Linked DNA regions of Caenorhabditis elegans. The protein of the gene in region 1 interacts with the protein of each later gene in a pairwise test. Each region holds a gene or a part of one and is shown on either strand. Other genes may lie near its edges.

Region 1 (7,133 bases):
ATTCAGTACTGTAGTACTGTCATGTCATTCTACAGAGATTTAGATGACAGGAGACGAGTGGAGTATGAGTGGAATATCGCAGACCTCAACTGATGTCGGCTGCTCAGAGGGCAGAGTAAAGCTACAAGCAACAAAATATACTGTGGAATATGACTAATTTCTCATAGGAATAAGGAAAAATAACGAAAAAGGCATTATATTTTTTGATTACAAATCCTATAGGGCTAAAATGGCAGCCGTAAAAAAATAATAATTCCCCAATGAGTAAATAATTTTAGGTATTACGTCTGCCTTTTCAATTAAAAAAATACATCCTAAAAAATATCACATAAATTTTGCTCGCATTTTTGTTTTGTATTTCTTCATTCACATCTCAACATTTGAATTTTTCCCGCTACGTTACAGTTTTAGTATTACAACAAGTACACACTCACAGTTCATTGCCAAAGAAAAGGGGTAAAATATATGAAGGAAATGAGATAACATCTGACTTTGAAATTATCCATTCGCTGAGTAATTCGTCTCTTATCTGCTTTATCTGTCTTTCAAGGTGAGTGACCAAATCGTTTTCACTTTCAGACAACCTCGCCCCCCGACACCGTTTCACTTTTCCATCAATTCTCTGAAACAGTTACTTGTTGCTAACGATTCGAGAGTTTAAATTCGGGTCTTTTGAAGTGTATCCTTAATTTTTACGTAATTAGGCACTAGAAAACATACCGATTATCTTCTATTAATATGGCCTCCCTATTAGACTTGCACTCCCTTTTAGTATTGCCCCTCGGAGACCTTCCGAAAATTAGTATTGCACTCCCTATTAGTCTTGCACTCTCTAATAGTCTTGCGTTAACTTTTTTGTATTGCAAACCCGTCTCGCTAATTTCAGGATTTCAACAACATTTTTTGCCTATTTTCCAACAGTTTTCACATCATTTCTACGAGATTGAAGTTTTTGAACTTATATGAAAATCAAATTTTCTGAATTTTTACATATGATTCGCGTTTTTTTCAGGAAAAAACTAGTAAGCTCAAAGTCAGAAAATGTTCTGAAAATTAGTATTGCACTCCCTAATAGTCTTGCACTCCCTATTAGTATTGCAAGCGGGAAGACCATCGAAAAATAGTATTGCAGCCATATCAATAGAAGAAATCTATATTCTTCTGTCAGATTTTTGAGCTCAATTCCAAAACTGTTCATTGTGAGAATAGAAGTTTTGCTCCGAAAGAGTCTTTTCAGTGGATTTATTTCTTTTAGGTACTTTTTCAAAAATAAATTACAGTTACTTTTTTTCATGAGCTTTACCCCAAATCGTTCAACATTTTCCAAGATTCACCGTGACCGACTGTTTGAGCTTTGGAACGATATTTTAAAATTCCACCTGAACATTGTATTTTGATGTCGTTTTGTATAGGAATAAATGCAAATGTCATTGGAAATAATTTTTGCGGTATATATTTGAAAGGTTTTTAACGCCGAATTTTTTACTACTTTATTAGACTTGAAATTTTCTCAAAACACCTAATTTCATAATGAAATTTCTCGAAAACTTCTCAAAAAAATAGTTATGGCGGCTCAAAAAATTACATAAAATTAGTTAAAATTTGAAATTTGACCTACTTGTCAAGATAATTAACTTGTATATTTAAAATTAAAAAGCGATTTCAAAAAATTAGTTTCAAACCGCTGCGACATACAAGTCGGCCAAATTTCAAATTCTTATTAGTTTTAGGTCGTTTTTTGAGCTGCCATAACTTTTTTTCGAGGCGTATTTTCAAAAAGTTTCATTATGAAAAATCGGTGTTTTCAGACAATTTCGAGTCTCATAAAGTAATAAAAAAAATTGACTACACCACCTTTTATATCTACTTGAACTTTCTGAAAATATGACAAAAAACGAGCTTGAAAAACATTTTAGTATCACAAATGAGGAAACTTAAATTTATTTCAGTCTCAAGCACTCAAGTCAATCATAAGACTGGAAACAATTTATTCTAAACTACTCTAGGTATGTGGAAAAATTGTTTAGAATATGTAAAATGCTTTTAGATCCTACTTTACCAAATTTCTTCTCTTTTACTATAATTTCTTATCAATGACAACAAAACCAAGATCACAGAAACAACGTGCTCTTTGTGTTGTTATCTTTCACTTGTCTCTGTTAACCTACCTCGAGAACACATATCAATAGATCGTTTCTTCATATTCTCTATTTGCTCTCAACTCTCTTCCGTCAATCAGATGCCTGTCAACAAACTTTCCACCTTTTGTTTACTGCTCTATCCTCCTTAAGCCTGCAACCTGCCAATTTGCATATAATCCAATTGGACTCATAACTATAATTGTTCTTGGGTGCTTCCATCATTGCCATGTTATATTAGTTTCCTCCTGCGTTTCTTGTGCTCAATGCTCATTTTTTCTTAACCTATCTGCGTCTCTGTCAGCTGATGAATTCTGTCGTATCTTCTTCACTTGTCCATTGCTCCATTTTCTCACCATCTTCTTTTTTTAACCAATTTATTTTTTTTTGTTGGTTTTCATCATGTCTTAACGTGGTGGTCATATTTCAGAAAATTTGGATATGGAGCACTTACCAAATGAAGTAAAAGTTATAATTCTAGATGAGTGTGACTACACGGATTGCATTTGTTTTAGAGCTGTGAGTTTTTAATGTTTTTTTAATTGAAAAGTAATGATTTTTAGAATTTGTATTTCATGAGTAACGCAAAATTTAGTATTAAAAATTTTTTAAGTTCACATTATAATTTAAACATTTTTGCAAATTAAATCCTTAAATCAAATTATTATTATTTTTATTAAAATAAATTTTTTTTTCTTAATAAACTTCGACGATTTAAAAAATGAGAAAAATGTAAAACAAAGCAGTAATTAAAATAAATGAAATTCCGGCGGCACAGCCAAGTGAATAAAATCTCAAAAATTGTATCTTAATAAAAAAAAACTTTGCTCTCCTATTTGAAATTTCGAGAAGCCCCATTATCAAATTATACATTTTCGGAGCTAATTTCTGCCCATTAAAGATGAAGTAAGGAGTATATGATACCAAAAAAGCTTTTTCTCATGACATAAGTCTTCAAATAAATCAGTTTAAAAGCAAAAACCGTCAGTGCCGCAGCGGCCTAAAGTTTTATTTTGATTGGCACTCATTAGTCCATAATTATTTTTTTAATCATGTTTGAGCAAACATGAAAAGTATAACCGTAGTTATAAAAAATAACTCCGGTGATGAAGTCATTTTGGCAAAACACCAAATTGTAGCTGAAATTGCTCATTTTCAAGACTGGAAATTTTCAACATTTCTGACTGTAAAATTCGGTTTTTTTGGGCCAAAAAGGCCAAAGGCTGTGATATTAGTAGATTACCTTCAGAGTGAAAAAAAACCCTAGAGTATTATGTAATGAAATGTATTTCTATTTCGAGCATACTTTGGGAATTATTTTTTCTTTCTATTTGAGAATTCGTGTTTTTAACTTGCAACAAAAAGTGTCTCAAAAAAAATCACAGAAAATTTCGTAGAAACTCGGGAGATATCAGATTACATTGTGTCGTCATACTTTTTCTTGGTCTGAAATTCGATCTTATCTTTCACTCAATCTCATTTTCAACTTTCACCCGCCACTTCTTTGCAGACATCAAGCAAAAACTACGACGTCGGAACCTATGTGCTTACCAAGACGAGAACTTTCGATTTCCGGCTGTATCGTTCTCATATTGGAATGCAAAGTCTTGAAAATGAGAAGACGACAAAAAATGGAAGCCATTTCAATCCAACGAAGGTGATAAATCACTTTCCATCATTACACACACGCTGCTAAATGTTTTTGTTTCTTATCACTTATTTCAGATGATCAATTTCATGGATCTTTTACCCGGTTTACGGAAACTAGTGCTTGCTGACTTACCGTGTATTTTCACGATGAGTGATATGATAAAAGTGAGACGGGGGGGGGGGGGGGGGTTCTCGAGATTTTTAACAAAAAAAGAGAAAACGAAAAATTTCAGTTGGGAAAGTCTCTGCCAAATCTGCAAAAATGTGTGATCATCGAGAGTGAAGAGCGGAAATGGATGGGGAAGGATGTGCTCATGGGGCTGACTTACTTCAAATCGCTAGAAAAATTGAAAGTGGTTAATTGGGAACCGTCACATGTTACAAGAAGAGGTTGGTTTTTGTAAGGAAATAATAAAAATAGATATCGTGAAGTTATAATTCGGAACATTTATATGCTAATGGATATTACACTAAAAAGCCAATTTGTGTCCAACCTTTGTAACTATGTAGAGAGATTATCAAAAAAATATACTCGAAATTTTTCTCTGAAATCACTTCTACGTTTTTCAATAACACCGTTCATTTCCAGGTTGTGCTTCGCGAAACGAGACCATCCCAGCGAGTACTCTCCGAAACTTGATCAACTTCACAATCATCTGCAATAAGGAGACAGTGTCCAAAGTTTTACAATATTTACTCGAGAACGAAATTTATTTGACAAAATGTGTCAAGGCCAAAGTAAGTTCGACTACAAAGTTTGTGAAATTTCAATGCAATTCATCATCTTCGCAATTCCAGTTTAACGTACGTCTGTCCTCGCCGGATATTCCCCATCTTATCATGAAGTTCATCGAATGCCACCCACACATTCAAGAGATTGCTTTCAACGGGTTTCTTTTCACAACACAAGAGCAAGTGCAGGCTTTTTACGGGTAAGGGGCCACAATATTGGCACGTGCAAAAACTTTTGGGATATGAGAATTTATCTTGTTTTATGACACAGTACAATTAGTAGTACAATTAATAGAAAGTAAAATATAGTACAATTAATAAAAACTCTTTAAACAAAAAAGTAAAAAAGAAATGCCCCGAACCAGGATCGAACTGGTGACCTTACGATCTTCAGTCGTACGCTCTCCCAACTGAGCTATCGAGGCACATGGGTTGACCACCGACGCTAGCCTTTACAAGGGGGAAGTGTGCACGCTTTAGGGCTATTTCGTCGTTTTTTGATAAAAATTTTGCGCTGGGCTAAAAAACGTGTATAAATCAATTTCCAGGCACCTTCTTGCACTACCACAACTTGAAAGAGTTCAACTGGAGAACTGTTCAGTTATTGAAAGGATTGAGCAGGCTCTACAAAAAACCTTCTTGGACGCTTTACGACGGCGAGGAATTAGGTTCACAAATCTGGTTAAGAGCTTACGACATGGGTAAAAAAATTACATAATTATATATATATACACTGTTTATTTTGCTCAAAAATAAAATGATTGTCATTCAAGTTTTGGTGATGGCGCATCACAACGAAATAGCCAACGGCGATCCAGCCCACTTCGCAACAAAATTTTGCACATTCAGTAGGTTCTCCGTCTGATTTGACTTGATCACAACGAGAAACCTGAAATAGAAAACACTATGGAGGTTAGGATACTGTATATGAATTGATTGTCGATCGAAAACCATCAAAAATCAACGTACTTGTTCAAATTGTCCTTTTCGGCGACCATACTTCCAATGCGAACTGTACTCTCAATGACCGGATAGCCAGTTACTAGACACGGTTCGGCCGTACCTCTCTTATCTTTAAGGGAAGCTTCGAAGACTCCTCGCTTATCATATACTAGCTCTTTTGCGTGAGCATCATCGACTGATGAGGCAAGAACCCATTCTTTCATTTCCTCGTGTTTGGCGCTCTGGAAAATAAAATGTTGTGATCATGAGACTACATGTGGACTACAGTTTGAAAGTGTGACCACCAAGTTGCACGGAAATGTATGTACGTCCAAGAAAATAATTTATGGGCAGAGAACGGTTTTTAAATGAATATTCTCATGTGATAATACTTAATCAAAACATAATTTTTTATAGGAAGTAGTAAGACGGGTTCCGAACTGACATGCTATTCTCACCATCGATTAAAGAAATAATAGGGATTGCGAAAAAATTACTGACACTTTTAGATGTAAACGGGAAAATTTTTGTTAATAATCAATAAGCTGCTCCGAAACAACACCAGCCTAAATTGATATTTAATTTGCGGTATAATTGCTTCACTTTTTAGTGGAATTTGTTTAGACTGTAAACGCGTTTTAAACTTTTTTCAGAACATATTTTCATAGAAAGCCCCAAAATACGATTTTATAGAAATTTTTTGAAACAATCTGAAAGCTTTATGAAAAGGATATCTAGGCTCTGTTCAAAATTGAATTCCTCCAATAAAACGTTCGTAATTAACTATTCTTAACATAAGAATTCAGAACAGGGGTATGCGGCAAATTTGCCGAATTTGCCGAATTTGCCGTTTGCCGAGCTTGACAAATTTGCCAAATTCGCCAAGCACGGCAAATTTCAAAAAACGTAGATTTGCTAAATTTGCCGAGCTCGACAAAATTCGAAATTTGCCGCACACATCAAAAATTTTACAATACAATTTTGATCAAAACTATTGATTTTGCCTTCAAAAATTCAGTAAAATGATACAGAATAGTTATTTTGATGTTCAAGCAGATACACCATCTTATTCAGAAATCATATGTGTGGTAAGAATTCAGTAGTCTTGGTGCTCCAAAAACATTTAAAAAATATCAAACTTTTAGGAGTTTGTAAGGCACGGCAAATTTGCCGAATTTGCCGAGCTCGGCAAATATTGGAAAAGGAGATTTGCCGCACACCCCTGAATTCAGATGGCATTCGTCTCTTTCTGAAGCCGCCTAAGACTACTTTGACTTCCTACCCCTGTTAGGCTCAACTATCTGAAAACACTATCCAACTAACCTCTAGCCATTGCCTTGTTGGAAGTGACACCTCTGTCGGAATATCACTATTCTCAAATGGACTATAATCCACGAGCTCACCATTTCCTTCTTCAATTGCATCTACCAAGTCCAGATAATGATTCAAAAGCAAGAACCCAAGCGATTCGTATTCACTCCCATAATCCTTTGCAGCTGCTCCAGCTTCGTAGAAGATCCTGTCCGCCACCAGTATATCCGTGTATCTCAACAGTGACAACGACTGTTTCAGACAAAGCTTCTGAACTTCTGGCACAGAATCTCCAATCTCTTCCAACGCGGTTCGCATGGCAATGAGATGTAAAGCCCAGAGAGCTCTAGAGAACTCCTC
Region 2 (5,832 bases), on another chromosome or scaffold:
TATGCACGTCAATAATCGATAAGTCAACTTACTATCCTCTGTCTCCCATTGTCTTTTTTATATGAGTTTGAAATGCGAACTTCTGGTCGTGCAACGGCTGCTGCGAAAATAAATATCGACTTCGATTAGTAGACCTCTCGTTTGGCTCGTCTTCCTTTGATACAGAAGCACGCGCTGACGAATTACAAGTTTTAAATTGATTCGCAGCGCTGAGAAAACGAGTAGCAAACGAGAACGGACGGATTGAAGAGACCCAAATTTTCGACGAAATTCGGTTGTTTTACCCTATAAAACACAAGTGGGGCCAAAATAACCAAGTGAGTATTTTGCGTCACACCGTGCAAGAAGGGGGAAAAATAATGGGAAAAACAACTTTTAAATCGTTCGAAAAATCGAATTTAGAAAGAAAAAACAGAAAAAGATGAAAGGTTTTGGGACAAATGCGAGAGACGAAAATCAAAAAAAGCGGGAGAAGGAGGTGCAAAGCGGTTTCGCTGTGAGACCCACCGCACGTTTAATGTCATGCGCCTTTAATCCAGCTGTACGCAGTGACGTCACGAAATACTGAAAGCGTCACGTTTTCTAGCGAATCAGCTGATATTGATTTCAAAAATCTTGAAATTGAATTATTCAATTTTTTCTCGTTCTAAAAAGTCCAAAAGCTTTCAATAATATATAAAAATCAATAATTTCGTAACCCGATGTCTGGCATTTCTGGTAAATTCTAGAATTTTTCCAATTGTCATCATTTCTTGTGTTTAAAAGTCTATATTCTCTCGTTTCCTATCAATATCGTTTGCTTTATTCAGCTATGGCGGAGTTCCCAAATCTCGGAAAGCACTGTGAGAGCACAGTTTGCAACAGACTTGGTAAGTCAACATTTAAAAAAAATTAATTAAATAAAAAAATAATTATTTCAGATTTTCTTCCAATCAAATGCTCCGGTTGTGGACATTTCTACTGCTCAGAGCACTTCACATTTGAGGCTCATAATTGTCCGACTGGCTCAAGAATTGTAAGTGTTTGAAAATCTTTTTTTAGATTAAAATTATTAAATTTCAGTCCGTTCAAGTTCCTATTTGTCCTATATGTGAGAAGCCAGTTCCAACGCCGAAAGATGTCAATGTTGATCAACAAGTAATTATTTTGAAATTATTCCTGCAAAAATATTGATAAAAATTGTTTCTTTTTCAGGTCAATGAGCACATTCAGAACAATTGTCAGACTCCGAAACGTGCAAAAGTATATTCAAACGCGTGTACCGTCCCAAAATGCAAGAAGAAAGAGCTGGTAGCCATGAATTGCTCAAAATGTCGAAACAACTACTGCCTTTCTCACAGACACGAGCGGGATCACAGTTGTGAGCGAAAAGTTGGCGAAATGAAGATAAATCAGAAAAAGAGCTGGACGGATTCGTAAGTTTATTGTTTTGAATAAATCGAATTTCAAGGTATTTTTCCAGAATCACATCAATCGCGCGTTCCCGAATGAATCCATGTTCCGCACAAGCAAGAACAGAGGTTTGTATCTATTTTCAAAAAAACAACTAACTAAATCACAAATGTTTCCAGGGAGATGAAGCTCTGGCTCGTTCTCTACAACAAGAAGAATACAATCGAGTTGCACCGCCGCATCAAACAAGAAATTCCAATTCCAACTGCACCGTCTCATAGCATCCAATTTAGTGTATATTTATTTCCCTTCTCATATTTTCTGTACAATTTGCATTTCTCTTCAACCTTGTTCTAGTTCATATCCGTGTCAAAACTTTTATTCATTTCACTTCGCCAACTTCAGTCCTACTAAAATATTGATTCTTTGTACAATGTTGAATACTTTTTCTTTTTTCTTGATATATGAAATTGTTCACCTGCTTTGAACTGTTGTTAATGGGTGTTCTGGGGTTCACAAAGTAAAATAAGAGTTTTGCAAACTTTTGACTGAAACGAAATTTGGACTTTTCAAACATTTTTTACCTAATTTTGAGAAATGCATCTTTTGGCTCAAAGGTGAGACTCACTGTGTAGGTCTCGACGCGAACAAAAAATATTTCGCGCAAAGGCGTGTGTTCCTTTAAATAGTACTGTCGCCAATTAATTTTTGCAGTTTCTACAGTATATCCCACGTGGTGTCAGAGTGTCCCATATCGGTTTGATCTTCGTAGATCTACGGGAATAGCGGTAATTTGACGCAGATTTCTCAACTACCAAAAATATTTGTTGGTTGAGAATTGAACAGAAAAAGAAGAAGAAAATACAAGCATGTCGAGCTTTACACAACTTTATCTAATAAATATTCAATTAATTTGGATCAGTTTTCTCTTTCAGCAATTACAAAAAATTTTGTTCCGTTAAAATTGTGAATGATTGGATTTGGAGAGAATCGAGTTTTTGGAAAAATAAAAAACAAGAGCAACGTGTTATGGTATTATTCATGTGATCTTTTAAAATGCAAACGTGTATTTTAATTTAATTGTTCCCCTATCAGAACCTCTCTAAATTTCACGTGTTTCAAATTCCCTCTTTTTCTCTCTACTCTTTCACTCTCGCACGTGAAAAACTTCTTTCCGAATGATAATTTGTGTTTAAAATGGAAATTTTATTGAAGTAAAATTTATGAAACAAATACTTTTAGTTTAAATCCGAGATGCACTTCTATTTGAGAGAGCCCACGGTAAATTAAAAAAGAAGTAAAAGTATACCAAACAAGTATGTTCCAAGTGTTCCGATGGCTCCGACAAAAGAGTATACACTGATTGTATAATCGGTTAGATGAATAGCTGAAAGTATACCACGTTCAAAGCACACCCCGCCTTGTGTCTCTTCTAGAAAAAGGCGGTTGCTGAAAAGTATACGGAACGCTGAGGCACGCCCTCTTCTTACCATGATTTGCTCCAAGATAAATGAATAGGCATTCTCATTCAAAGTATAAACATGTACTCGAACTCATTCTCTTCATCATCTTCATCTTCCAACTCACCAATGTCTTTTGATTTTGGATTCCCTCAGTTTCCCGAACAAGTCCAATTCAATGAAGAAGGCTACGGGACACCATCTCCAGATGTCCTCCAGAATATGAATTATCATCATTATCCGGCACAAGATATGACGACAAATTCATACAATGGAGGCTATGACAATTCAATGCAACAGAATTTTATGCAACCAGATAATGGTGCAGGATACTACAGTGAGTTTTAAAAAACTATTTTATTTTACTTTTATATTTAAAATTAATGTTTCAGATGAAAACTATCAACAGATGCCTGATTTTCAATTTCCAGTTCAAAATTTTGATTTTACAAATCAATTTGAATTCACGACGCCTATTAATGGTATAATTAACTATGAAACTTACAGCCTAATCTTAAATTTATTTTAGACCTCCAGCAATCTCAAACTTCCATCAACCACACCAATCCCGACAACAATGAAAATTCCATGCCAGAGATACCAATTGACGGGGGCTTCAACTTTTTTCCAGCTCAAGAAGTTCAAGAATGGAAGCCAGCTAGAAAAGCTTCGAAAAATAAAATCAAGAAGATTTCCACAATGCATATCAACTCTTCGTGCTCCAATTGTGGATGTCGGGAAACGAAATTGTGGAGGAGAAATGAGCAAGGAGAAACTGAGTGCAAGTAAGTTTGAATTATTTTGAATGTTCTATTTAAATTACGATTACAGTCAGTGAGAAAATGTTTAAAAATCATTCCTATGCTGATAAAGTTACCAGATACCGCAATGAAACTTTTTATCATCTTTTTGAAATGTTTTATTCATGTCGAAAAGTAGTAAAAACTCTTTTTTTAACCACTTATCGAGAAATTCAAAGCATTGTCTGTTTTTTGATCGACGATTTTCAAAAAAAAATTGGTGGAAATTTTTTTCACTATTTTTTGAGGGCTCTCTAGGTGTAAAAGTTTTGAACTTGAGTTTTTTAAATCTCATATTTTTCAGTCCGTGTAATCTTTACGAACGAGTCAAAGGACATAAAAGACCACAACATCTTTGGAATAAGCCAGCTGCCAAGAGAAGACGCCGTCCAGTTGCTCCACTTGTTGACTCTAATGCTTTTAATTTTTGATTTAACTGATCAACTCTGTGCAATAAGCATTATTATTTTTCTAATCAAACATGACCTTTCGGTTATAATTTAACTATTTGTTTTATTTCCCCTCTGCTGGTTTCCATAATAAATAAATAAAAAAACTTCATGCTCTTGATACTACAGTTTTCCAGATCAATTGTGAATTTCGAACAGCTTGTTCAGATTTGAAATGTAGTGTTGCAAGAATTGATTTCCTGTGTGGAGTGTGAACAATAAGCATGACTATAGTGGAAAGAACTCCATGACATGCAATTGCAATCATCGCAATGTTTGTGGCAGCTGGAAAAATGATTTTTTTTTTCAAATTTCAGCTTAATTTTACCTTGATTATAGTAATCATTTTCCGAAGCCATGACAAAATATGAAACTGGTAATGAGATGAATGCAACTGGAATAAATATTTGAATACACATTGAATAGAAGAATTGCTTTTGTAAGCGAGCAGTAGTTGCCGAGAGAGACACTGTTTGGGAAAAGTATCGAAAAATTGCTCCGAGAAAATACAATTTTTGGGGAAGACATATGAAGAACATGCTCAAAAGACAGGCATTGACTATTGTATTATCAGTGGCAAATACAAAATATTCCCGACGATTGAGAACTTCATTTGGAATACATGGATTTATCTGTAATTCACTTTTTGGTTAAAGCTTTCAAAAAAAAAACGAAAACTCACATTTTTCACATATTGCTTTGCTACTTCAGGATTCGGTAGTTTTAAATATGCGGGAATAATAAACGTCACTGATATAGTATAATTTAATACAACATATAAGGTACGTTTCCAGTTCAGTGATCCGTTTGTTGTATGCCCATGTATTAGTCGGTGATAGCGATCTTCGAAGAATATGGTTACAGCCACGCACATCACTGAAATATATTGAATTGTTCGGTTCCTCTCAAATTGAATAATTTAAAAAGGAATAGTAGCTTGAAAACCCTAGAGTAAACATTAAATTCGTAACTTGGGGAACTTGCTGTCAAACTTTGGCAGTTCTCTGTCCAACCTTCCAACAAACTTAGTCAATCTTCTGCCAAACTTTGGAAACTTTTGGTCAAACTTAGACAACCTACTGTAAAATTCTGGGATTTTTCTCTCAAACCTTGACAACTTACTCACTCTCGGAAGTTACAAAGGTTCGACAGAAAACTGCCGAAATTGGACAGAAAGTTGTCAAAGGTGCGTTGCCAAAATTTGGCACGAAGTTTTCTTTAAATAAAAAGCCAAAGACATCACAAAAAAATTGGGAATCAAATAATTTGTTATTGAGATTAGATTAATTCATATCGAAACTGAAAACATAATAAAGCTTCTGTTTTCAATAAGACGTTTTATATTTATTATACTATTACCATTAGTTAGCCAATTCAAAATAAACTAACCCCCAACAAAAACACATCCAAGATAAACCTGAACATCAGTTGGAATACCTAATATTAAAGAGAATCCAAGAGGATATCCTGAACTGACAGGTAGTGTTAGCATTGGAGATGCAATAAAGCTTAGATATAAATCGACGATTGCTCCCACAATGTGCAATAAGACCATGTTGAACTTTACAGAACATATTTTGCGCGGAGTTTTAGTTAAAATAATATATGCTCCGAACAATTGAACGGTCACTTCGATGGCTGTAGGTACGTGAAGAATTCCAGCATAGAACTCATCAGTCGCAAATAAATTAATATCCTCGGTGCACATTTTGAGGTATTGAGGTAATAAAG

Evidence for each region.
Region 2: the proteins of K08B5.2 (region 1) and end-3 interact in a two-hybrid assay, tested with the Caenorhabditis elegans proteins (one large-scale study listed by BioGRID).

The regions. Positions count from the first base shown.
Region 1 is NC_003284.9:16,549,323-16,556,455, reverse strand, and holds K08B5.2 (F-box domain-containing protein), read left to right. Parts: upstream 1-2,568; 5' UTR 2,569-2,579; coding exon 2,580-2,657; intron 2,658-3,648; coding exon 3,649-3,795; intron 3,796-3,863; coding exon 3,864-3,953; intron 3,954-4,021; coding exon 4,022-4,178; intron 4,179-4,377; coding exon 4,378-4,526; intron 4,527-4,586; coding exon 4,587-4,720; intron 4,721-4,872; exon of another isoform or gene 4,873-4,947; intron 4,948-5,068; coding exon 5,069-5,225; 3' UTR 5,226-5,289; downstream 5,290-7,133. Other genes in the region: Intraflagellar transport protein osm-1, read right to left, coding at 5,310-5,409, 5,490-5,704, 6,786-7,133.
Region 2 is NC_003283.11:14,011,768-14,017,599, forward strand, and holds end-3 (GATA-type domain-containing protein), read left to right. Parts: upstream 1-2,927; 5' UTR 2,928-2,933; coding exon 2,934-3,189; intron 3,190-3,244; coding exon 3,245-3,334; intron 3,335-3,381; coding exon 3,382-3,637; intron 3,638-3,956; coding exon 3,957-4,083; 3' UTR 4,084-4,210; downstream 4,211-5,832. Other genes in the region: ddx-17 (RNA helicase), read right to left, coding at 33-49; aip-1 (AN1-type domain-containing protein), read left to right, coding at 812-869, 921-1,015, 1,063-1,137, 1,195-1,415, 1,463-1,520, 1,572-1,673; srh-308 (Serpentine Receptor, class H), read right to left, coding at 4,211-4,386, 4,430-4,733, 4,784-4,977, 5,491-5,809.